Notamacropus eugenii: one gene and its partners. The protein of the gene in region 2 purifies or fractionates together with the protein of the main gene of each other region. This does not show direct contact. Links are inferred from orthologs where the notes say so. Each region holds a gene or a part of one and is shown on either strand. Other genes may lie near its edges.

Region 1 (7,514 bases), on a different chromosome or scaffold from region 2:
CCTTGGTGTGCTAACTGAAATGAGAGGATACTTGGCTACAAAAGGTTCTTTATTTGTAAAAAGCCAGGGAGGACACAACAGTTTATGGATCAGCTTTTTAGGCTCAAGGATCTGGGGGGAGCGGACTGCCTTCAGGGGCATCTGGACAGATACGCTTGAGAGGGGGTGCCCCCTCTGAGTCTTCAGTTTCCCCCACAGCTGCCTCAGGCACAGGGGGCACTGGTTCAAAGACTGGGTAAGCTTCAGGAACCTGGAGAGGAGGAACTGGGGATAAGTTCTCCTAGATCCCAAGGATCTTGCCCGCCCCCTCCAACCCCCAGTCCTTCCACATCCCTCATTCCCTACCGCTCCAAAGTCCAGCCTCCTCCAGCCTTTCTCACCTCTGCCTCCAATAACTCAGGCACAGGTTCTTCCTTAGTGAGCATTGGGGGTTCATCTGTCCCACCCATAGTCACACCCCCTGGATCTGGAATAACAAGAAAGCAGGTTACCCCAGGGAACAAGGAGCTAAAGATCACAGTGGGAAGCCAATGGAGGAGTTGTTTAGTTCTTACCTCTTTCCTGGCCCAGTCTTGGGGGCTGAACATCTTCAGAAGTCCCATCTGGTGGAGCAGCAGGTGAGGCTGGTCTGCTAGGCTGAGGCGTTCCCCCTGGGCTGGGCTCTGTGCCCTTCTGCAGGGAGCCCTCTGAGTGGAAGCTCTGATTGCTGTTCTCATCTGCTGGGAAAAGAGGCTGGGAGGGGTGGGCCTTGGGGTGCCTCTGCTTCCTCTACCTTAGGATCTCTTCTCCCTTCCCCCAACCTAAGACTTCCATTCTCCCACCCTCCAGACACCCCTACATACCACTGAGGTCAAGCAAGATGAGGGGACCACCCCCTCTTGGACTGGCTCCCCGACCCCTCCGTTCCCTGACTCGGGGCCTGTCAGCCCCACTTCCTGCCCGTCGACGTTCCTACAGAAAGGAAAAGGAGCAAGGTAGTTCGAGAGTGGTAGAGAAAAGATGAATGAATTAGTTGGGAGAGGGAGCAGGAAAGTTTCCCAAGAAAGGGAAAAGAGTCAGATCCTGAAGGAATTCAGCTCTTTTCAACAAACATTCATTAGGTACCTCCAGTGTTCTGGGAATTGTGCTAAGGTATGGAGGGAATAAAAAAAATTTTAATTGGAGACCAGCCCTCCAGGAGCTGCCCAGTTAAGGAAATGGGACACATGTAACATAATCCAAAGGAATATATAATCAATTCATTGCATACTTGTAAAGATTATTTTATGGGTTTGGGGAGAGGGAGAGTGCAGCTGTTACTGATAAAGCCAGGGAAGCTTTATGGTAGAGGTAATATTTGAGTTAGGCTTTTAAAATGGGTAAAAATTCAACAGGTGAGAAGGGGATGGAGACATTTTCAGGTGCAAGAAATTGGGGACAGAAAGCAATCTACTTTGGCTTAAGCGGTCAGTGAAGATGGAGGAAAGCTGTAGGGGGAAGTGTGCAAAGCTGGGTGATGCCTAGCTGTGGAGGGCCTTGAATGCCAGGCAAAAGAGCTTCGACCTTCAATGGATAGACAACAACAAGAAACCGTGGAAGATTTTGGGCAATGGAGTGGCATGACAAGATATGGCAAGCTGAGGGGTGGGGGTGGGGTGGGAAACATCTGGTAGCAATATGAAGGATAGATTTAGAGGCTATTGCAATAACCTAGGTGGATAATAATGAGAGCCTGCACTAGGGTGGTAGCAAGTAGAAATAGAAAGGAAAGTACAGATGCAAATGTTACTGCAGTGAAAAGATTCAGCAGAGCTTAGTAACATATAGGATATGAGAGTGAAGAATCCAATGTTTAGGGGAGACTGGGATACATGGTAGTGACACTGAAAAAAGACCAAGTAAAGGGGGGGAATCTGGTTTGGGGGAAAAGACTGATAATGTTACAAAGAAAAGAAAGAAAGGGAATAGTGGAGAAGGCAGTATGTCATAAGGGAAATAGAATTCTCTCACCTCCTCATGTGGGTCCACCACAGGCACCCACTTGTAGATACGGAGGGAAGTGTCTCCCACTGTCACCCAGCGTTTCTCCCTAGGGGTGATCCACAGAGCCAGGTCATGCAGAGCCAGAGATTCTCTCTCTCTCTCTCTCTCTCTCTCTCTCTGTCTCTCTTTCTCTCTCACTCTGTCTCTCTCTCTCTCACACACACACACACACACATCTCACCAACACATAAAAACACACAGTTCTATGGCACAGCTATCTTTGGAGAAGGGAAAAACAGCAGTCTAATTGGGATGGACCTAGATATCCAAAGCTTTGGAGGGTGGTCTGTCTGAAACCTTCATCCCACTGCTCTCACTCCATGTTATTACCCCACATCCCTTCCCTTCCTCCCTGTCTCAAACCCAAGCCTTCCAGTCCCTGGGCCTCCATTCTCACCATCTCCGGACCTTTTCGATGGTTGCCATCACCTTCTTGATGTCATCCTTGGCCCGGCTCCTGGTCTCAGCCCTCACCGTCCGGCCCGCCATGAGAACTGAGGTGTCGCTTCTCCCGAGGCCCACCTGGCTTGCACTAGGGATGCTTCCTGGACTCCCCAGACACCTCTGTCTGGGTCACTTGGTGCCCTTCTCCCCTGGAGCTCCCTCTCTGCCTTACTCAGTTCTCTCTTCCTCCTAAGCTATCCCTTTCTCCCCCTACCCCTTGCTCACTGGCTTCCTGTTTCCCCACTTCTCAATCTCCTCGTCGGTTTGATTCACTCCCTCTCTTTCTTTCCCTCTTGGTTTTCCATCCTGTCTTCCTGCTTTTAAAAACAAAAATGTTTTTTCTTTGCTCTCCTCCCTTCCCAGTGCTGTCTGTCGTCTTCGCTTTTCTCTGTGAGTCACTCTTCCTGCCTCCCTCACTGTCTCTCTTTCCCTTTCTTCGGCTCCCTGTCGTCAGTGTCTGTCTCCTTCCCTGTCACTTCTTTCTGGCTTCTCCTCTAAGCCCGCCCCTGCCCCAGCCGCCTTTTAGTTCTGCTCTGGCTTGGGGATTTCCCTGCTGCAGCCAGGAAACCAAGGAGCAGTAGTCCCCTGGACCAGACCCTCCGCCCCCTGTGCTGAGTTGTTTCCCCGCCCACTCTGGCTCCCCCACAGCGCCCCCTGCTCTCCAGAGACAGGACCAGGGCCTGGCCGTAGAGGCAGGGCCAGGGCTAGGGGCAGGGGGAAGGGGAGGTCCCTACTCGATTTCGTTTTAAGTTCCTTTGACTGCCCCCTTGTGCCTGTGGAGTTTCAGCCTCTATGTGCATGTGCGTGTATATGTGTATCAGTTGGCGATTATGTATCACTGTGGGCATTAATGCAATTGTATCAAACTGGGGTACTTGTATATCTTCTTCCCTAGCATGTTTGTGAAAGTCCTTCAGGAAACATGTCTCTCACTCTGCACAGCATCTGTGGGTGCTGGTTTAAGAGTCAGCAAGTGGGGTTGTGCCGTGGATCTAAGTGTTTGTGGATACCACTGTTTCATTCCTGGGCAGGCGCCCATAATATATCAGATATCCTTTTAAAATGTGTCTGTCTATCAGTTTGCTTTACTGTCTAATTGGTGAGATTGAGATGTGACTATCTGTTCAAGAATATGGTAGTAGATCTCTTGGTGTGTGTCTGCACATCCCTGTGACTATAATACATTTCCGGTGCCACCTTCTCCAACAACCTCGCAAATCTTTTCCCCTTCCTCCATCCACCCCCCAACTCCTGGGGGTAGTTCACTTGGTGTATCCCCAGGAAAGCTATCCAGTAGGTACATTCTTTGAATTCCAGGCATGCCAGTTCCCTCCCTGAACCCAGGAGTCCTCCTCTTCCTTCCCCCCAACCCCCACCCCAACTCCTAGCTTCTTTCCTCTCAACTGCCCTCTCAGAACTCTGACAGTCCCTGCCCCTTTGCTGTCTGGGTGACCTCATCAGCAAGGTGACAGTTCTCAATCCAATTCCTAGACTAGGAGAAAAGTTGAAGCTCTCTGGGAGGGAGCGCCCCAAGATCCTTATGGTTTTTATCTTCCCAAGACCTATATTCTCGCTCCCAGGCCTTTCTCCGCTCCTCAGGGCAGGGCTAAAAGGTGAGCTCAGGGCCCTGGAATCTGGGCTTGGGGTGAGGTGGGGGGAGTTTGGGGGTGGCCCCTGATTGGTTGATAGTGGACCACGCCCCCTACCCCCCTTTTCCCTCCCTTCTTCTTCTCTCTGGGAAGGGGAGGAGGGGGCATGTAGGGAACCGGGACCAGCCAGGGGACGGAGGGGGCCAACATGAGCCAGAGGGAGGGAAACAAGGGTAAGGGACTTCTGGGACTTGGAAAAATTGGGTCTAGAAGAGAAAGCTGGGAACTGGGCAAGACTGCAGGTTAATAGGAGGAGCAGGGTTCAGTCCTACAAGTTAGGTGCCTGGGGCTGTAATGTAATGTTTGTGTTCTGAAAAGGACAGCTTAGTGGCTAAACAGCCAAATGGATGGATTCTGAGAAAGGAAAGGGATCTGATTAAGAAAATGGGGAAGGACTTGGAGGAGGAAACTAAAAGGATAGGACTTGAAGTGGAAGTGGGGCTGTGGAAGTGAGATGTGGGCTCACCTTAACAACTTATATGTTGAAGAGGGGCAAAGAGTGTGGGGTTGAGAGTCTTTGGCAAAAATACCAGCCTCTGGCTGAAGTCTCATAGTTTGAATAGAGCAGGATGGTCAATTAATGACTGGGAGTGGGGGGGGGGGGCTGGGGGGGAGGGAAAGGAAGGAGATCGAGGTGGGGGAGGGTAGAATGCAAGGAAGCTCTTTGCTCTTTATAAAGGAGAACCAGAGCTAATTGATAAGCTACTCGAGTACTCAAGAGAGATAGGGTCTTGGGAAGAAAGTTGACGAGTGTGTGTGTGTGTGTGTGTGTGTGTGTGTGTGTGTGTGTGTGTGTGTGTGTGCGTGCGTGTGTGTGCGCGCGCGCGCGCGCGTGTGTGTGTGTGTGTGTGTGTGTGTGTGTGACAGAGAGAGAGAGAGAAAGAGAGAGAAAGAGAGAGAGAGAGAGAGAGAGAGAGAGAGAGCTGAACAGCAAAAGATGTGGTGATAGGTCTTTGGGGCCAGACATGGGTTAAAGAACTTGGTCACCTTTGCATGTCGCTTCCTTCTTACTAGTCCTCCCCCTACAATATTAAGCACCATGTGCCTAGCATCTGCCTAAGTTCTTTGCATCCTGGGAAATGTAGTTTTCTCCTAGTCAAGAGTAAAGTGAAGCCAGAATGTGTAGTCAAGTGTTTTCTATACCTGAGGTCTATGAACTTGTTTTGTTTTAATTTTTTGATAACTTTTGATATAATTAATTATCCATTTTATTGTATGAATTTAAAGATGTAATTCTGAGTAGGGGTCCATAGATTTTACCAGGCTGCCAAAAGAGTATGACATACAAAAAAGTTAGGAACTCCTGTCCTAGCATCTCCCCTTCTTGTCTTTGGTGATGTATACAGTGGGACTAGGTTATAAACTGTTAAGAATTAAAATTTTCTAATCCCTTAAGTAACTGAACTCCCAATTCAGAGGAGTCTAAGGCCAATTCAAGTTATTAATCAGTCAACTTGTCAGGATTTGAAACTGTAGTTGGTATTATCAAAGGGTACTCCAGGTATTATAACACATAATCACCTAGGAATTGTGATTATCTGCAATATAGTCATTCAAGTCTCCTGTCCAGGCCCCACACCTCCTTGCTTCCCTACCTCCAGCTCCTGTAGATCAATTTCTTCTTTCAGATAATTAGGGTAGGGGAAGATAGGACTACAGCCCCAATTGGTATAAGGTGAGAATGTGGAATCAAGCCACCAATAAGACACTAAAAATAGTATGTTATGGGAAGAAGGGAGATCTGTTATGTCAGGGGACCTGGGTTTTGATTCCTCCTCATCCTCCCCTGTCCCCTCCAGTGGACTTACAGTCCCATTCGGCCTCATCTTTCTCCCACCTTGAGGCCAAGATCCGTCAGACCCACAGTCTTGCAAGACTCCTCACTAGCTATGCTGAGCAGCTGCTTCAGGAATATGTGAGTACAGAGGTGGGAGGTGGTGGGGTGGAAAAGGGGATGGGGAAGAATGGGAAAGATTACTCTATACCCTTTGAATTATTCCATTTTAGGGGCAAGCCCTGGGAAGACCATCTAATCCAGCCCCACTATTACACAGAAGAAGAAGCTGAGAAGTGGATAGGACTTGCCCAGGGTCACACAGTGAATCAATGTTAGAAGTAGGATTAGAATCCAGGACCACGGATTCTCATTCTAGAGTTCTTGACAACAGACCAACCTTGGCTTTGTCTTAAAGGGTAGGCAGCTTCAGAATTAGAAATAAGAAAGATGAGAACTCATTCCCACATATGTAGAGGAAAATCCACCTCCTGTCAGCTTTCCATTCAGATCAAGCTGTTAATCACCAAAAGCTTTATGTTTCCATTGCCTAGCAGGCTCCCTTCCATCCCCCACCCTATCCCCCCACCCCCACCCCCCCTCCCACCTCACCCTCACCAGCCTTCTCTGACAAGCCGATGAGTGCTGATGAGACAGAAACATTAATACTGGCACAAATGAAACTGGTAGAAGGTAGGAGGGAAGTTTATGCCATGCATCGAAATTCAAATCCCCATGACCCATAGGCTATTGACTGTTAGATTATTACTGTTTAATACTATCTCTGCTACAGGACCTCCCCACTAACACTGGCTTGGAAAAACTACAGTGCAAGTGACAAAGTTCTATTTCTGTTTTTTTATACTTGTGTGACCTTGGGCAACTTATGCCTCAGTTCTATACCTCAGTTTCCTATAAAAATATTCCAGATTCTGTGATTCTAATTGGGATCCAACCCTACAAAGGGAAACATTTCTCTGGGAGGTAGAACAGAAGTTTTTCACCTGTAGAACTTTTGGCAGGTGGGGTGGGAAGGAAGAAAAATCTTGTGTTATTGATGAGAAGGATCAATTTCCCTAATGAGAACCAAGCAAAAAGAGCAAAGAGACCTCATAGGTCTCACCAAAGCTGGTAGAAAATAAGGCAATTTTATAGCATAAATGGTTCACATCCAGAGGAGTTGCTCTTGCCTGGGACTTTTATAGAAGACTGGGAATCTGTTGCCTTAAGTTGGATCCTCCAGGGAGGGTCTGTCCAAGGGGAAGAAAAGACTCCTCCTAACACCTCTCCCCACCCTTCCCTTACAGGTCCAGCACCAGGGGGACCCATTCGGGCTGCCCAGCTTCTCTCCCCCAGGGTTACCAGTTCCCGGGCTGAACTCCCCAGCCCCAACTCATTCAGGGCTCCCCACCCTTGAGAGGCTGCAGCTTGATGCAGCTGCCCTGAACTCACTGTCCCCACTACTGGACACCATCCGCCGGCTCCAGGCTGACCTCAACCCTTTTGCCCGTCGGCTCCTCCGGCGGCTAGAAGATGCCTCTCACCAGTCAAGGGCGCTGGGGAATGCTGTAGAGGTTGTTCTGGGGGCACTAGGTGCAACCCCAGGGCCCCCAGGGCCACATCCC
Region 2 (7,838 bases):
AGGGGCAGAACACAAAGCGAAGCTGACGAGTCTGGGTGTTAGGCAGGCCGGCGGAGAGCATATTTCCCGAGAGCGCTAGGCCTGTCTCTCTCCAGCTTCTTCTTCCTCTTCCCTCCCTCTCATCATGTCATACCGATCAAACATGTCTGTGTGTGTATGTGTGTGCGTACGTGTGTGTGTTTCGCCGCTGTGACTTCCTGATTCCCCGAGGATTTCACACACATACACACACCACCACCACCACCACCACCACCACCACCAAACCTCGCCTCTTCCTCTCCAGGCACAGGCTGGGGAGGGAGGAAGAGGAGGAGGAGAAGAAGGAGAGAGGAGGAGGGAGTCTGCTTTCCTCCTGCTGCTCCTGACTCGCGCGCGCACACGCACGCACGCACACACACACACACACACACACACACACACACACACAACGCACTCGCGCATACACATACACACACACATACACACACACTCCAACCTAGAGCAAACTGTAATACTAGCTGCAAACCCCTCAGGCCCTCTCCACCGCTCTCTCCCTCCCCTTCCACCTTAGTTATCTACCCTGCCAAACTTTTCTGCCTTAGACCTCTCCAAACTTCCCTCCTGGGGTCTGGATGCGGCAGACCCCCCTCCGCCTCCAAAGCAACAGGGGCAAGTTCTGTGCCTCCCCCTCCCTGCCTTCCAACCACTATAAAAACAAATGAAAACAGGAGGACCGCGGTCTTCACCATCTCATCTAGGTAGTTGCACACTGGTTACAGCCAAGAAAAAGCTGGGGGAAAGCCGCAAGAAGCAATTTCCCCGCGTTTACCGGAAATCAACGAAGTCTTTGGGCCGGGAAGCGTTTAATGCACGGAGCTATCCATTTATCTTCCAGATGAAGCCAGGCATACACAGATGCGCTGGATGCAAGGCACCAGGCATGCCCGAACGTCCGACCCCGCTGTTCTGCACCCGGGAGGTGGCGGCGGCAGCGGCCCGGGGAGTGGACGGGGCCAAGTCAGGGACGAGCTGGACAGGCTATTTGGGGAAGTGAATCGCGACACCTTTGCAGTTCGCGTGACTGTGTTTTGCAAGGCAACCAGAAGGAGGAGAGGAGCTCTTGGCGCTGGGGGGGCGGGGGGCGGGAGGGGGGAGGAGGAGGGGAGGGGAGGAGGCAGAACCCAAACCAGATTCGATCAGAACCCTACAAAACTAAAAGACAAGGAACAAGAAGAGGCATTGGTGGTCAGGAGACTCTGGACCCTCTCCTACCAGGCAGCAACCTTCCCCTCGCCCTCCACCAATAAACCTTGCACTTGCGTGCCCCTGTGTGTGCGTATGTGTGTGAGTGTGTGTGCGTGTGTATGTGTGTAATGTTAGTGACAGTCAGACAGGGAGATTATCCGGATCATGGCCTCCTTGGCTCGGCTGGTTAACGCAGCCGCTGCTGCTGCAGCAGCCACTCACTCTTAACAAGCTCCATTTCTCCCCTTCTCACTCACTTGATTTCCCCATCCCATTCGCACCCCTGCCGCTGACCCTGAAAGGGATAGCTCAGCGCCCACTGCCCTAGAAAAAAAAAGGAGGGGGCAACCAGACCTCCTCCTTCTCTTTCTCCTCCTCTCCGTCCTCCTCCTTCGTGTCCTCCTTCTCCTCCTCCTCCTTTTCCTCCTCCTCTTCTTCTCCCCACCTCCACCCGCCCAGCTGCTAAGCCCGGGCCGGACACACTCAACTTCAACATTCAACACTCGGTGGCAGCCGCAGCGGCGGCGGCAGCCCGAGCACTCAGGCAGTAGCTGCCGCCGCCCCATGCATGCCCCCTCCAGACACAAGCACCAAACGAATCCTCCGTTGCTCCTGCCAGGCAGGCACTGGGGTGGGCACTCATTGGTGCACAGAGAGAGAAAACTGGGGAAGAAGAACACCGGGTGCGATTCTCCTGCAATCCTCTGTTCAAACCTCCCTCCCCTCCCACCACCACCACCACCACCACCACAGCCAGCAGCTACAGCACCACCATACAAGTCCAGGGGTCTGTCACCGTCGCAGGAAAGGGGGGTGGGGGGGAAGGTAAAAACACTCGAGTCCAACCTACCGGCCAGGTTCCTGCCGCCTCTGTTTGCTCCTGCCACCGCCGCCGCGGCTTCCCACCTTGGTCGCCCCCGCCGCCGCCGCCGCCACGGCGGAGCTGAGCCTCGGTTTCCCCGACTGTTGCTGCTTTCGATCTATTTCTGTCCGCGCCGCTGCCTGAGCTCCTGAACCAAGTCCCTGGGAGAAAGCAGCCAGGGGCTACCAGTGCTCTATGACAAGCTTTAGATTTTGCTCTCTCCTCCCCCTCCAACTGTTACTATGATGGTTTCTTATTATGAACTGTCGCGTTTCCATCCTCCCTCCTTCTTTCCCCTCCTCCCCCTCTTCCCCTCAGAGGTTTTTAATGGGGAGGGGGGGGATGCAACCTTGCCCATCTATGTGCGTTGTAGTGTGTGTGTGTGTGTGTGTGTGTGTGTGTGTGTGTTTGTTTTGCAACCTTGACTTGGCAGCGCGTCGGTGACTTGGTAGCCAGGTACAGGATTGTGTGGCTGCTTTTTGTTCTGATTCTCATGAAGTAGGCATGATTACTGTCATTATTAGAACCCCAATTCTCTTGGAAACTTTCCCTCGTCACCTCTTCTCCAACCACCCAGGTGTTGTGCTGTCTGTTCCTTATTCACCTGAGACCGGTGAGGAATGTTGTTGTTTTGTTTGTCGGCTGCTCCTCTTCTTCGCTTGTTTTGGTCTCTGTGCATGTACAATCAATAATAATTATGATCATAATGAATAAATCCTGGGGAAGGCTGAGTGTGCACGGGAGGTGGTTGTGCGACAGCAGCTGCTGCAGGAGCGGGGGGTGGGGGGGGTGGGGAGAAGGGAGTTGTAAGTTATATTTACCTTGCTTGTGAAGAGTATGCTGGATGGATCTTCTCCCTCTCTGAGTCACCCAGAGTACAGAAACAGAGCTAGAGAGAGGACTAGATTATGAATATGACTTCATTGATGACAGCCTTCCCCTCCTCTTCCTAAACTCGGGCCCCTCCTCCTTACTCCTCGCTAGGCCCACCCCCCTGACGCTAGAGGCTCCGGAAGCTTCTCTCCAGTTGGCTGGGCCCAGCGAGAATTCCTGCCCACCCCTGCCGGGGTTGGTGGACCTGTTCTGTCACTCGGCCCCCTTGGCTACTCCGGGAGTACCGGGAGGAGGGGGTGATGGTGTGGAAGAATGTGCCTTGAGAGACAGGTCTACTGTATGCGCGTATGCATGTGTGCCTGTAAAGGCTCCAGCCTTTGCTCCCTGTTTGTACATGGAACCACAGAAACTGCGCAGGACAGAGCAAGCCTGCCTGAGTTGGCTTGTGGATGTTCATGCTTTACTGCTGCCTTTTTCAACGATTGATTGTTGGAATGTCTTTCTACCCCCCACCCCCACCCCCCCTCCGGCTTGAAATTTTCCCCCTTCAGCGTCGTGTTGTTTTGGGGAAGAAGGCTCTGGAGACGTAACAAAAACGGAGGGTAGTAGTAGTAATAGCTTGTAGTAGTTTGGGGGGTATGGAAAGAAATTGCTGGCATTTAACTGTGCCAGCCATTGCCAGGTCGAGCCTGGAAAGGGGGAAAGGAGGGGGGAGGAGGAGATAGATTCGGAGTTGCACCAAAGGCTGGTTGTTACAAGGAAGGGATAGCCATTGTCAAGGCTGCAGAAACTTCCTCCCTCTCCCGCCCCACCCCCCCGGACTATAATTATAAATCTGCCTTTTTCCAGGAAGGGAGGAGGGTACAAAGAACATTGAGATCAAATCCGACTCTCCTTCCATTGAGTTGCACCTTTCCAAAAGTCATTGATCCCCCAAATCTGCAATCAGGCTATGAAGCTTATGGAGAAATAGGGACACCTCCACTCTGGGAATCGGAGATTGCTATCTTACCTTTCTTCTCCTATATTCCATAAGTAAAAAATAAATAAATTAATAAATACACACCAGTTCTGAGGTGAGGGGAATTGGGAGGGGGAAATAAGGAGTTGGGCCATTGAATCTCGTTTTGGTGGAAGCAAGGGAGTAAATCTGGTAACCTGCATTCACATTAATCTCTAAGTCTGCCTTCCTACACTTAAGAGGCAATTAAGATTTCAAACTAAATGCTCCTGGCACTTTAAAAAAAAAAAAAAACCCAGACCTCAGCTTATGGTGTTCCTTGAAATACAAGCACCTTAGGCCTACCAGGCCGTCAATATTTGCTGAGAGAAATATTTTTATGAACTGTGAAAGAACACATTGGAAGATTTTAAGTCAGGGGTCTGTTATTTTAGCCTCAGATTAATGTAGGTATTTGCCTTTAAAAATTAAAACTGTTCCTATGTGCTAGAGTTATGAAAAGTTTGATTTATCCCTTATTTTGCCATGCAACAGCCTAAATTAGTCATTGAAAGTGCATTGTGACTATTTTATAGAGAGTTTTCCCCCTAGAGTAAAATCCTATTTTAAGAGGCATTTTACTGTTGCAAAATTGACTCTATTTGAGCAAGTGTCTGAAATGTCGTTCTTGTAGTATGTTCAAAACAGCCAGCTGGAGAAGTTAAGAACCTGAAGCAATGGGAAGAACACAGAATGCTCCATATGGTCATTAAGTGACAGGTACTGTTTATGTTACTGGTCTATTACTGACCAAATTAGAATCTGTAATGACATGATTATAATGCCAGAGATACAATGTTACTTGTCACTGACACTGTAGTTTCCCAAGGTCTTTTTACTTGATCACCAACTTCAACATCATTTTCTGGCTATTCAAAATATGATAAAGGACAGTATTAAAGAGAATCAATTAAAATACGTAGTATGTCCCCATGCATCCAGTAAAATAAACTGATTTTTCTGCCCAAGGACATGCTGATATAATTATTAACCATCGAATCTCCAGCAAGAGACGCTGAGCAAATTTAGGTGCATAGTAAAATACAGTCAAAGGTATTTAACTGTTTCATAAATTACAACTAATAATAAAACTTAATAATTTGGTGGCCCATAACTGGGTTTTAATTTAATGAAGATTCTTGTTATAATGGATAATTTCTTAAGACCACATATTTTCCAATATTTTGGCATAAGAGATTGCACTTTATTCCTTCCTAGAAAAAAGAGCCCTTGGACCTCTTTGCCCTCTCCATTATAGTTAAGGCAATTTTCATGGAGAAACCAATCACCTTGGCAAAACATCTGTAGAAGGACTTTCCATTCCTTCTGGAATTTTTCCCGCTTTTGGGGGGAAAATGTCTGTATGGATATGTATGAGCATATGTGAGTATTCAATTACCCAATTTAATTAAATTTTAAGTGCTATGTGCAAGGCACTGAGTTTGGTACTGAGTATTCAATGGCAAAAATATAAAATCATATATGTATATATACATACATTTATGGATGCATACATGTATGTATGTAGACATATATGTATGGATGCATACCTTTATAGGTACAAATACATCATATGTAAAGATATGTGTCTATATATTATATGCACACACACACATATATATTCATATATACATACATGTTCAAATACCTTTCTACTTACTGACTTTGTTATTATTTAGACTTTACATTCTAGTCAAATGGGACTAATTGATATTCCCTGAATTGTTTTTTTCATTTCTTGCCTATGTGTCTTTGCACAGGCCCAGAAGGTACTCTAGGTATCTATGTGGCTCAGTGGCACTGAGCCTGGAGCCTGGAGTCAGCAAGACCTGAATTCAAATCCAGCCTTAGTTACTGGCTACCTGTGTGACTTTGGGCAAATCACTTAATATCTGTTTACCTAGGAGGCAGCTAAGTGGTTTAATGGACAGAGTTCTAGGTCTGGAGTCTGGAAGACTCATCTTTTTGAGTTCAAATCTGGCCTCAGATACATACTAACTGTGTGGCCTTGGGCAAGTCACTTAATTTCCATTTGCTTGAATCCACATGAGAAGGAAATGGCAAACCACTCCAGTATCTTTGCCAAGAAAACCCCAAGGACAGTATTGGTGTGCTATGGTCCACAGGGTAGACATGAATAAAGAACAAGAAGGTATTCTCTCATTTTTAGTTTCTTGGAATCTTACTTTTTCAAAGCGTTGTTCACATACCTCTTCTAAAGGAAGCCTGTTCTAATCCATCCACTTGCTAGTACTTTTTTACTTCTCAAATAAGTTGGTGTTTTCTTATCTATTTATATGCTGCATCCTGTATTAGAATGTAAGGTACTTGAGGGAAAGGAGTATTTTTAAGTTTAAATTTAAATTGTAAATTTTTGTAATTGAAACACACATATATCACACATACACACACATACACATAAATATACATGTGTGCATTTGTGTGTATGTGTATTGTCTCTAATGTATTATATAGTTTCCTCATCTAATTTATAGGATTTTGTATGCCTTTGTGCATAATTTATGAAGAAACTATGGAAATTTCAAAAGCATAGATAAAAAACAATATCAATCAGGAAAAACAATGTCAACATTATTTTCTCAACCACATATCCCTTTGTGCTTCCTAGGAAAATGACAATCTCCTTCCTTTGATTTCTTTAAATAGATCTTATGAAGGATTTTCATGTAAGTAACATGCAGTGTAACAGGCAGGAATCTCATCCAATATTGCTCGCCTGTTGTGGCTTAAACTTCTGAGAAATGAAATTGCATCCCCATCTATTTCAGATGTGAAGTAAATAACATGAAATTCAGCTTTCAGGAAAAAAGCAAAATTTAACAATTGATGTGAAGAATGGCTATGAGGGTTGCTTTTGTTTTGGAGAGAATCTCCCAAAAGCAGATATGGTCAAAGGCTGAAAGATCTCCAGGTTGTCAAACAGGATGTTAAATTCACGTGAAGCTTTTCCTTCTGGCCTTTGATGAGTCATTGTTTGGTCTCTGAAGCAGCAGCTTTTCACTTTCTACCTTGGAATCCAGAGACAGAGACCACCTCCTCATGTCTTTATTGACACATTCATTTGTTTGCGCCCAGTATATCACTAGAAGTTCTTCAAAAAGCAAATAGATGATTTAAAAATTGAAGTCTAGGGTCACAGTTGTTAAAAAGAGTAAGGATATGGAGCCAACAAACATTTCTAGACTTAAAGGGAAATTATTCCTCTGATTAAAATGTTGTCTAACTATGATGAAAAAGGAGTAAATACGGCCATACAGTAATGACTGTATGCTTTGTCTGTTGTAGATTACTATAGAAGATTTTAGAATTTTAGATTTTAAACTTAGCTACTACTGTTATTGTGGCTATAACACTATAGTTTAGCAAGAAGTAATCAATAAAGCTAAAATCAACTCAAGAGTTTCCAAAAGGATTCTTTCCAGCATTGATTAGGATGTTAATACCCAACACTATATGGATCACCATATTTTCAAAAAATTTAATTATTTTCTGGTGGTCAACTTTAGTATGGATGTTTTCTAGAAAGTAGCTTTCAGAGGTTTGCAAAGGGCTTCAGATGACAATTAGACTTAGGTCATTTGCATGGATCAATTTTGCAAAAGAGAACAGAGATTTACACAATTTTTAATGTAGCAATTGTATGTCGTATCATGGTCAACATAGAAGGGTCAGTAATGATAATAATTTAGTATACTTTTATCTGCTTCTCCCCTACTATCGTGATTCATTAACGTGAGGCATGTATTTTATCTAACTTATGAACCCTTAGAGAATTATTTGGTGGCAAGTCAAATGACTTGCTCATGGTCATATGGACAATATGTGTCAGAATTGGATCTTGAACTCACAATTTCTTGATTCCAAGGCAAGACCTCTCTCTGCCATAGCATCATTCTA
Region 3 (7,909 bases), on a different chromosome or scaffold from region 2:
GAACAAAGTGTGCAACTTGCAAATTTAAGCATGATATCAGTTAGGGCAGTGCAGGTTGGAGATGAGCAGCAGTCAGGGGGCACCACAATGCACAGGGTGCTGGGCTTGAAGTTAGAAAGAACTGAACTCTAATCTGGCCTCAGACACTTACATTTAAGCTCTGTTTTCTCAACTGTAAAACAGAAATAGTAACAGCACCTACTTTCCAGGGTTGTTGGCAGGATAAAATAAAATAAATAAAACAATTCTTGTAAAGCACTTGTAAAGTGCCTGGCACTATATATTCTCTTCTCCTAGAAGTCTTCAAGCAGAGGCTAGGCAATCACTTCTTGGATATTGGAGAGAGTCTTCTCCAGCACAAGTTGGACTAAATGTTTATTCTACAGTTAAGTGTTGTGTTGGAGTCAGGCAAACTTGCATTCAAATCCTACCTTTAATACTTACTATCTTGGCCTGGGCCAGTTTCCTTCTCCAGACTCTGGGCCCCAGTTATATTATCTGTAAAACTAGAGGCGTGGACTAGATGGCCTCTAAGGTCCCTCCCAACTCTAGAGCTATGATCCCCTAAGTTCATTAAATTTTGAAAGAGTTTTTCAATTAGTTGGAGAATTTCTGTTCTAAAAGGTAAGATCTGTATAGTTCTTCCCTTATTTTGCCCAATTATATAACCAAAAGCAGCAAAACTCACTGCCCAGGACAGAAGAAACAAAATATCAACATTTTATTTACATGTCTCATGTATGAGAGAAATGTCTACATAGTTCAAAAAAGAGAAAGAAAAGAAAACCATGGCTCCACTAGCTAGATGGGATGGGAGATGGCCTTTTTAGGATGAAGTTAAGATTGTTAAGTTAGTTTGAAAATTATGACTTTATAACTTCTTGACCTCAAAGAGTTCAAAGAATCACAAACAACTCATTTGTTAACTCATTCTTAAAAGAGAAAAAGAGAGCTGGTAGGGAAGGGAACCTACAATCAGAAAAGAGAGAAACAATGAGACGAAAGTGACCTTAATGGTCACTCATTAAATCCTTAGTAAAGTCAGGAAAATAATTAAGTCTCAGGACTCCAGGTTCTCTAACTAGATCAAGATAAGCCAAAAGGAGGCTCTTTGTAGCTCCAAACACCAGCACCTTTAACATATTTTTAGAATACAAGTTAGGAGATGATGGCATGAGGATAACAGAAAGTTTCTTTTTGCTGACCTGTTACTTCCCTCAACTTCACAATGAGAGATACTTCAGAAAAGAATAGAAAAAAAAATAAAATCTTATTTGATTCTAAGCAGTAATAAGATGATTTAAGTCTCTGTCCAAGATCTCTGAGCAGGAATAAGATATAAAAAGAAATAGACTGATTGATTATTCTCAGAAATTTCCCAAATCAAGATATCCACAAAGAACTGGATGGGTGCAAGGAAGAGTTCAGGAGAGATACATAGTAAGTACCATGAATCAACATGGCACAGTAGAATGTGCACGTGGCTTAGAATCACAGGACAATAAGTTTGGAGCTCAGACAGGACCCTGCTTAGAGGTGCCAACATGAGCTGCTCCTTCACAAGTCTAGGGCTACAAAGGACAGGTCGATTAATCCAATCCTCTTATTTTACTGATGAGGAATCCAAAGCCCAGACACTTCCTCTACTTGCCCAAAGTCACACAGCTAGACAGTGGTAATGCCAGGAGTTGAGGTAGAGTCCTCTGATTTCTTCTTTCCACTGTTTCATACTGTTTTCCTGAGTCTCAGCTTCCACATTTTCAAATGAAAAGACTTCAAATCTCTACGCAAGTGACACCGCCTACAAAAAGCTTTTCTAAGGACCCTAGAACTGAAGCAGAAAGAGGCCATATAGTACAATTCCTTCAGGAGCCAGGTGAAGAGAAAGTTCCTTTGTATATTACTTGTATCAGTTATTAACACCCTCCATGAGAAAGTCACTGTGTAGATACTTTGTATTTAATTTTGTACTTATATGTTCTCTCCAAAAGAATATAAACTTGAAGTCAGGGACTTTTGTGGGGGTGGGGGAGAGGGGGTCTTTTCACTGCTTAACATAATATCTAGCAGGCTGTAAGCATTTGAAGTCTTGCTAGAAACAAAAATTAAGCCGCAATACTGAGCCCTAAGGATACAAAGATTTCATGAAACTCCTGTTCTCAAGGAAGTTACAATGTAATTGTAATTGTTACAAAGTAACAGTAGGCAGACACTGGCTGCTAGGTAGAAGTGGGGAGATCAGGAAAGGCCGTCAGAAAAACGCCTCGTGATTGAGTTTTGAAGGATTGATTCCGGTTATGGAGAACATCCTACGAGGATGGGATGAAGCCTAAAAGGGGCCCTAACATAGTCTAACTTCACAGGAGCTGAAAGCCGTGGATAACCGGAGTTAAGAGGAGGGCACCCCGGAGGCCAGAGCGGGCCACGAGGTGGGTCAGTCCACAGCCCTTGAACGCAGATCTGCCGGAAAGTTTCGGACGTGGCCGCCTCTGAGGCTCGCGGCCCTGGGAGAGAGTAGAGCCGGAGCCTCCGCAGAACGCACCTGCTTCCCAAGCAGCTCCGGTCAGAATAATCACCGGCTCCGGGAGGGCGGGCCCAGAGTCACGTGCGAGGGCGGCTCCGGACACCGGCAGCGCGCTGATTGGCTGAGGCCGGCGCGTCCTTTTCCTCAGCGCAGGCGCAGCAGCAGATGGCTCCGCCTTCCTCCCCTTTCCCCCCGCCCCCCGCCCCCGGCGCCGGCCGGCCGGCCGGCTCCCACCCCTTAACCCACCCCGCTCCGGCTCGGCTGTGGCCGCGCACCGGGCCCCCTCACCCGACATACATCACCCCTTTCTCCCCCTTGACAGCTCCTCACCATTTCCGCACTTTCTCGATGGCGGCCATCACCTTTTTGATGTCGTCTTTGGCCCGGCTGCGGGTCTCGGCCCGGACGGACCGGCCCGACATGGCGGCGGCGGGAGCGGCGGGGGCCGGGGCTCTGCTCCCAGGACTCGGAGAAGCGCGCGCCACACGCGCCGCCACCGCCCGCCCGCCGCTGCCACAGTCGCGTCACCGGCACCGCCCCCGCCCTCCCCGCCCCCCTCTGCCTCCGCCTCCGCGCCCTCCTCCTGCGCGCGCCCCGCGGGGCTCGCGCCCGGCCCAGCGCGCCTGCGCGGCCCTCCCGGGAAACTCCGCCCCCCCACCTGCTCTCTCCCCCCTGGTCCTCGGAGCAAAGCCCAGAGCCCCCTGGGGAGAGGAAGACGGGAGGGGGAGGAGCTTGTGCACAAGCCAGGCGTCTGGCACGTGCCTCTGAGTGGGGGCGGGGAAAGAAGCACGAGGACCCACCTGCTGGGAGGCAGCCTCAGGCCAGCCCTGGAGCTTCTGCTGCTCCCCGCCCCTCCCCGGGTTCCGAGCCCCGAGGTGGGAGGCGGTGCTGACTTTGTTCGGAGGGCCCACGCCTGAAAACCTCCCTGAGCTGCTGGAACTCCAGGGTTCTCAGAATCCTACTGTTGGTATAACTACTTCGAGTGCGTACGAAGGCGAGAGAAACCTAGAGAAAAAGTATTTAAATGCGGTTGTCAAAATAAACAGCAAAATACTTTTAAAAGTTCACCGACGCCCCTCCCCAAATCTGTGCAGAGACCTCTGGGTGCCCGTGGGCTCCGCGGAGCAGCCTCTCAGCCCATCCCCCAGAGCCCTTCCCCAGACTCCTCGAGGTTCTTCCTCCCAGAAAATCCTACCTACAACCCTAAACGGGCCGGAGTTCCGTTAGGCACCCCTATTCCAGGAATCCAGGATCATCTCCATGCCTCCAGGCATTAGAGTAGTGGGAGGTGGATGGATATGGATATTTTTAGATTTATAAACATATAAAATATATTAAATTATATGTTTTAAAAATTATACGTTCATTCATTTATGCATTTGTTTAATGGCCTCCAGGTTTGGGGCTTCCAACTATTTTGCATACCGCATGCAAATTCCTATTCAGTTCAAGAAACTGCAAACCCATAATCTACAGAATATCGTGTATAGCGTATTGTATATAGTATATTGTCATAATGTAGCCAAACAGCAGTGGGTTGAGAGCCATTCTCCTGCCTCTAACACCGTCTGACACAGCGTTCAGTCTCTCTGTGCCCCCAGGCAACTCTCCACACACAGAATTATAAAGAAATTAGCCTTCTGCCTTGGTAGGACGTTTCCACTCCTGGAGTGCTTTTAACCCTAAATTACAGATGGGTTGACAAATTGCTTTGATGGAAAGTGCTCCAACGAAGGGAGTACCCTGACTAAAGAAAATATTACAATGTAACATAGCTACAAGATAAAACTAACAAAAAAATATATTCCCAACAACGGTCCTTTGCAAGTATTAACTTCTTTTTACAGATGACCAAACCAAGCTAAAAAGTTGGGATTTACCGAAGATCAGATAGCTAATAAAAAACAGAACTGAGATTCCAATCAAGTAAGCATTCTTTCTCCTGTTGGTTGGTTGGTTGTTGTCCTTCTTCTCCAACAGGACCAAAATGACATTATGGTGATAAAGTGAAATTTCAGTGTGTGGAACTGTGGCTGATCAGACCAATACCAGCTTGGATTGTTCTATCACATGTTGGGCACAGATAGTGAGGGTGAATATTTGGGGTGGGGAGACAAAGAAAGTCCTGTCCCTCAAGGATCTTCCAGTCTAATGGAGCATACATAAAAATAACTGTAGGAATAAGGTAGATACAGTATCAATTGGGTATAGTCTCAGAGGAAAAGGACTGAGATTAAGGAGGACCAGGAAATGCTGCTTGCAAAGGGGCAAACTTTTTATGGGTCAGTCGTTTTTTCAGTCATGTCCAAATCTTTGTGACCCTATTTGCATTTTTTTTGGCAGAGATACTAAAGTGGTTTGCCATTTCCTTTTTCAAATGAGGAAACAGGCAAAGAAGTGACTTGCCCAGGGTCACACAGCGAGTAAATATCTGAGACAAGATTTGAACTCAGGTTCTCCTGACTCGAGGACTGGTATTCTATCCATCACACCACCTAACTGCCCCTGTCTTTTATATTTCTATAATAAATGCTAGTTGACTGACTTGTTTCCCATTCAACAGCCTTCTTTCATTCATTCAACAAACATTTTAAAGCCCTTGGTGTGCTGGCTGAGGAAATACAAAGTTTACATAAGACATCCCTGCCCTCAGGCAGCTTCTTGTTTGTCTTTCATTTTCCATTTACAGGGTGATGTCTTGACTCCCACATGCATTGAACTTTAAGTGAGGCAGAGCTTCACCAAGTCACCATCCTCATTCTCTCCTCATGAAAGCCCAGTGACAAGACAAAAGTCAAGGTGACTGGAGATGACCCCAGAGGCAGTGGATGAGCTGGGGGCATCTTCAATGTTGGTGCACATTGTTCTCATCCACCCATTCTGCTGAGAGGTCCTCTCGCGCTTGGGATAGACATTCCTCTAACTGACCTACAGGTTTGGGGCCTGTTATCTACCTTAACCTAGTTTAGCAAGTCTCCTGAGGTTTACATCTCTACTCTAAGGATTCTCAAATCTACCTTTCCTGCCCCAGTCTCTGCTGACCTCCAATCTCGAATCTCCACTGGCTTTTCAGGCATCTCAAGCTAGATGCCCAGTAGATACCTTAAACTCAACATATCCAAAACTTTCCCCCAAACTCTATGTCCTTCCCCCCACCTCTCTTTAAGAGCATCACCCTCCTCCCATGCCCTCAGGCTCCTACCCTAGGAGTCATCCTGGATCCCTCACCATCTGATTCCCAGGTCCAAATGATTGCCAAGACCTCTTCATGTCCCCACCTTATAGTCTAACAGGGGGATTAGATGTGTTTTTCCCATAGAATGTTAAGGACCCTGAGAAAAGAGCTCTTCACATTTATTTTAGTATTTCTAGTGTAGTGCTTAATAAATTTGTTTTTGACTGATTAAGACACCAACACATGTGTCTATATATATGGAAAGTGTATGATACAGTTCAAAATAAAGTACAATGTGACATCCAATGAGAAAGCTTGGGGGTGGGGATGGGGGTTAGAAAGGAGAATCAGGGAAGGGCTTTTTATAGGAGGGAGCATTTGAATCAAGATATAAGGAATAAGTAATGCAGCAGTACAAACCAAGATCTAGCCTTTCTTGAAGAAGGCTGCCTGATGGAAACACACACCCTCCTGCTGGCTGGCACCTCTGACCTGCCCTGTTACCAGAACACTCCATATCTGGAATTGAATCTGCTCTTTAAGCTCCCAGCCCCCTGCTGTAGGCTCTGGAGTCATCCCTTGGCCAGTACCCAGCCCCTCCCTGCCTGTGACATCAGAGGCAGGAAACAAATCAAAACTTTGAATGAAATGTACAGACTGTTTCAGTTTCATTGCCACTAGGGTAGCACAAGGGTGGAGGCTGTCCCTAGTATAGGTGTGATATAGGCCCACTACCTCAGTGTTGGAAATGTCAGCTCCCTACCTTTGGGGCCAGGTTGGACTGAGGAGGAAGAGAGGTCTGCAGAGAAATCCCAGCTATGTCTGCGGTACAGTGAAATAAGCACCGGTGATATTTAGAAGCAGGATTTATAATCAAATCCCAGCTTTATCATTAACTGATTAAATTAACTGATTGATAAATTTGATCATTAATTAATATTATCATTAACCTTGATCAATCAATCAGCAAGTATTAATTAAGGCCTCACTGTGCTAGGAATACAAAAATAATAAAATACTAATGGCTAACATTTATATAGAGCTAACTATGTGCCAGGAACTGTGCTAAGTACTTTACAATTATCTCATTTGATCCTCACAACAGCTTTGGGAGGTAGGTGAGATTATGATCCATATGCAAAATTTTTATAGATGAGGAAAGGGAGGCAAATGAAGATTGAATACCTTGCCCAGGGTCATACAATTAGTAAGTATCTGAGGCCAAATTTGAACTCAGGTCTTCCTGGGTATAGGAATGGTGGCGCTCTATCCACAGCTGACTGGATATAATAGTTCCAGTTCTCAAGGATTATGGATAAGGTTACAGATTTCAAAGTTTATATTCAGTTCACAACTCTTTCTGGTTTCCAGGCCCTTATTTGTAAAATAAGGATATTGACATGATGGCCTTTAAGGTCCCTTCCATCTTCACAGCTCTAATCGCTTATCACTTCCAGTCTCTGTAAAATGAGAGAATTGGGCCTCTGGCCTCTAAGTTCTATTCCAGGTCTAACCCTAAATGCACTCTGATCTCCCAGTGATTAGGAGAGTTGTGGCTATGTAAGCCAAAGCCAGGGTGAGGCCTCTTCACGGGACCACCTTTCAAATTCTTTCCTACTCCGTGTATGTATGTGTGTGTGTGTAAATATATGTGTATATACATATATGTGTGTATATACATGTGCATGTGTGTATATATGTATATGTATACGTATCTATTCCTTTAGCCTTACTGAGTGGTTTGCTTCCTTTTTGGAAGCCTTGAGGTTTCAAAAGCTATTGCAATAGACTGGGTAGCAAAAGGCAAAGGGAAAGGAAAAGTGTTCTAGGCAGAGGAAGCAGCTTGAGCAAATTCATGGAGGCAGAAGATTTCAGGGTGTGTTTGGGGAGCAAAGAATTGGCCAAGACAACTGATGAGAGGCCATAGAGGGAAATAATGTAGGAGGGGGCAGGAAAGGTCATATGGCTTCCTTGTGAAAGGCTTTGGATATCTTGGTGGACATGAAAGCATCTCTGCTTGGTGTTTGAGTAGGGGAAACTACTCAAACACCAGATTTGACCAGATCTACAAGTAAAAATGACTCTCTAAGATTGGTACAAAAGTTGGATTAGAGCAGGGGAGTGGAGAAACCTATTAGGAGGTGTGATAGTTTGGTAAAACCTCTGGGATTTTTTTGGTCCTGGTCTTCCTTTCTGCCCTGCCTACTCCC

What was found. The genes of interacting proteins can lie anywhere in the genome.
Region 1: the proteins of SMARCA2 (region 2) and BCL7C purify together in Homo sapiens (affinity purification with mass spectrometry; 4 studies listed by BioGRID and IntAct, counting the BioPlex papers as one, with this or other methods). This does not show direct contact. The link is inferred for Notamacropus eugenii from reciprocal best matches to the Homo sapiens genes SMARCA2 and BCL7C.
Region 3: the proteins of SMARCA2 (region 2) and BCL7B purify together in Homo sapiens (affinity purification with mass spectrometry; 3 studies listed by BioGRID, with this or other methods). This does not show direct contact. The link is inferred for Notamacropus eugenii from reciprocal best matches to the Homo sapiens genes SMARCA2 and BCL7B.

Annotation. Positions count from the first base shown.
Region 1 is NC_092874.1:377,801,149-377,808,662, reverse strand, and holds BCL7C (B-cell CLL/lymphoma 7 protein family member C), read right to left. Parts: upstream 3,066-7,514; 5' UTR 2,512-3,065; coding exon 2,420-2,511; intron 2,069-2,419; coding exon 1,990-2,068; intron 952-1,989; coding exon 843-951; intron 720-842; coding exon 555-719; intron 467-554; coding exon 381-466; intron 251-380; coding exon 104-250; 3' UTR 32-103; downstream 1-31. Other genes in the region: CTF1 (cardiotrophin-1), read left to right, coding at 4,007-4,079, 5,915-6,030, 7,197-7,514. UniProt on the Homo sapiens protein: May play an anti-apoptotic role.
Region 2 is NC_092872.1:99,142,375-99,150,212, forward strand, and holds the start of SMARCA2 (probable global transcription activator SNF2L2), read right to left. Parts: upstream 3,081-7,838; 5' UTR 2,908-3,080; intron 2,758-2,907; 5' UTR 2,691-2,757; intron 2,464-2,690; exon of another isoform or gene 2,248-2,463; 5' UTR 2,075-2,247; intron 1,075-2,074; exon of another isoform or gene 809-1,074; intron 387-808; exon of another isoform or gene 1-386. UniProt on the Homo sapiens protein: ATPase involved in transcriptional activation and repression of select genes by chromatin remodeling (alteration of DNA-nucleosome topology).
Region 3 is NC_092873.1:50,364,880-50,372,788, reverse strand, and holds the start of BCL7B (B-cell CLL/lymphoma 7 protein family member B), read right to left. Parts: upstream 3,066-7,909; 5' UTR 2,947-3,065; coding exon 2,855-2,946; intron 1-2,854. UniProt on the Homo sapiens protein: Positive regulator of apoptosis. Plays a role in the Wnt signaling pathway, negatively regulating the expression of Wnt signaling components CTNNB1 and HMGA1.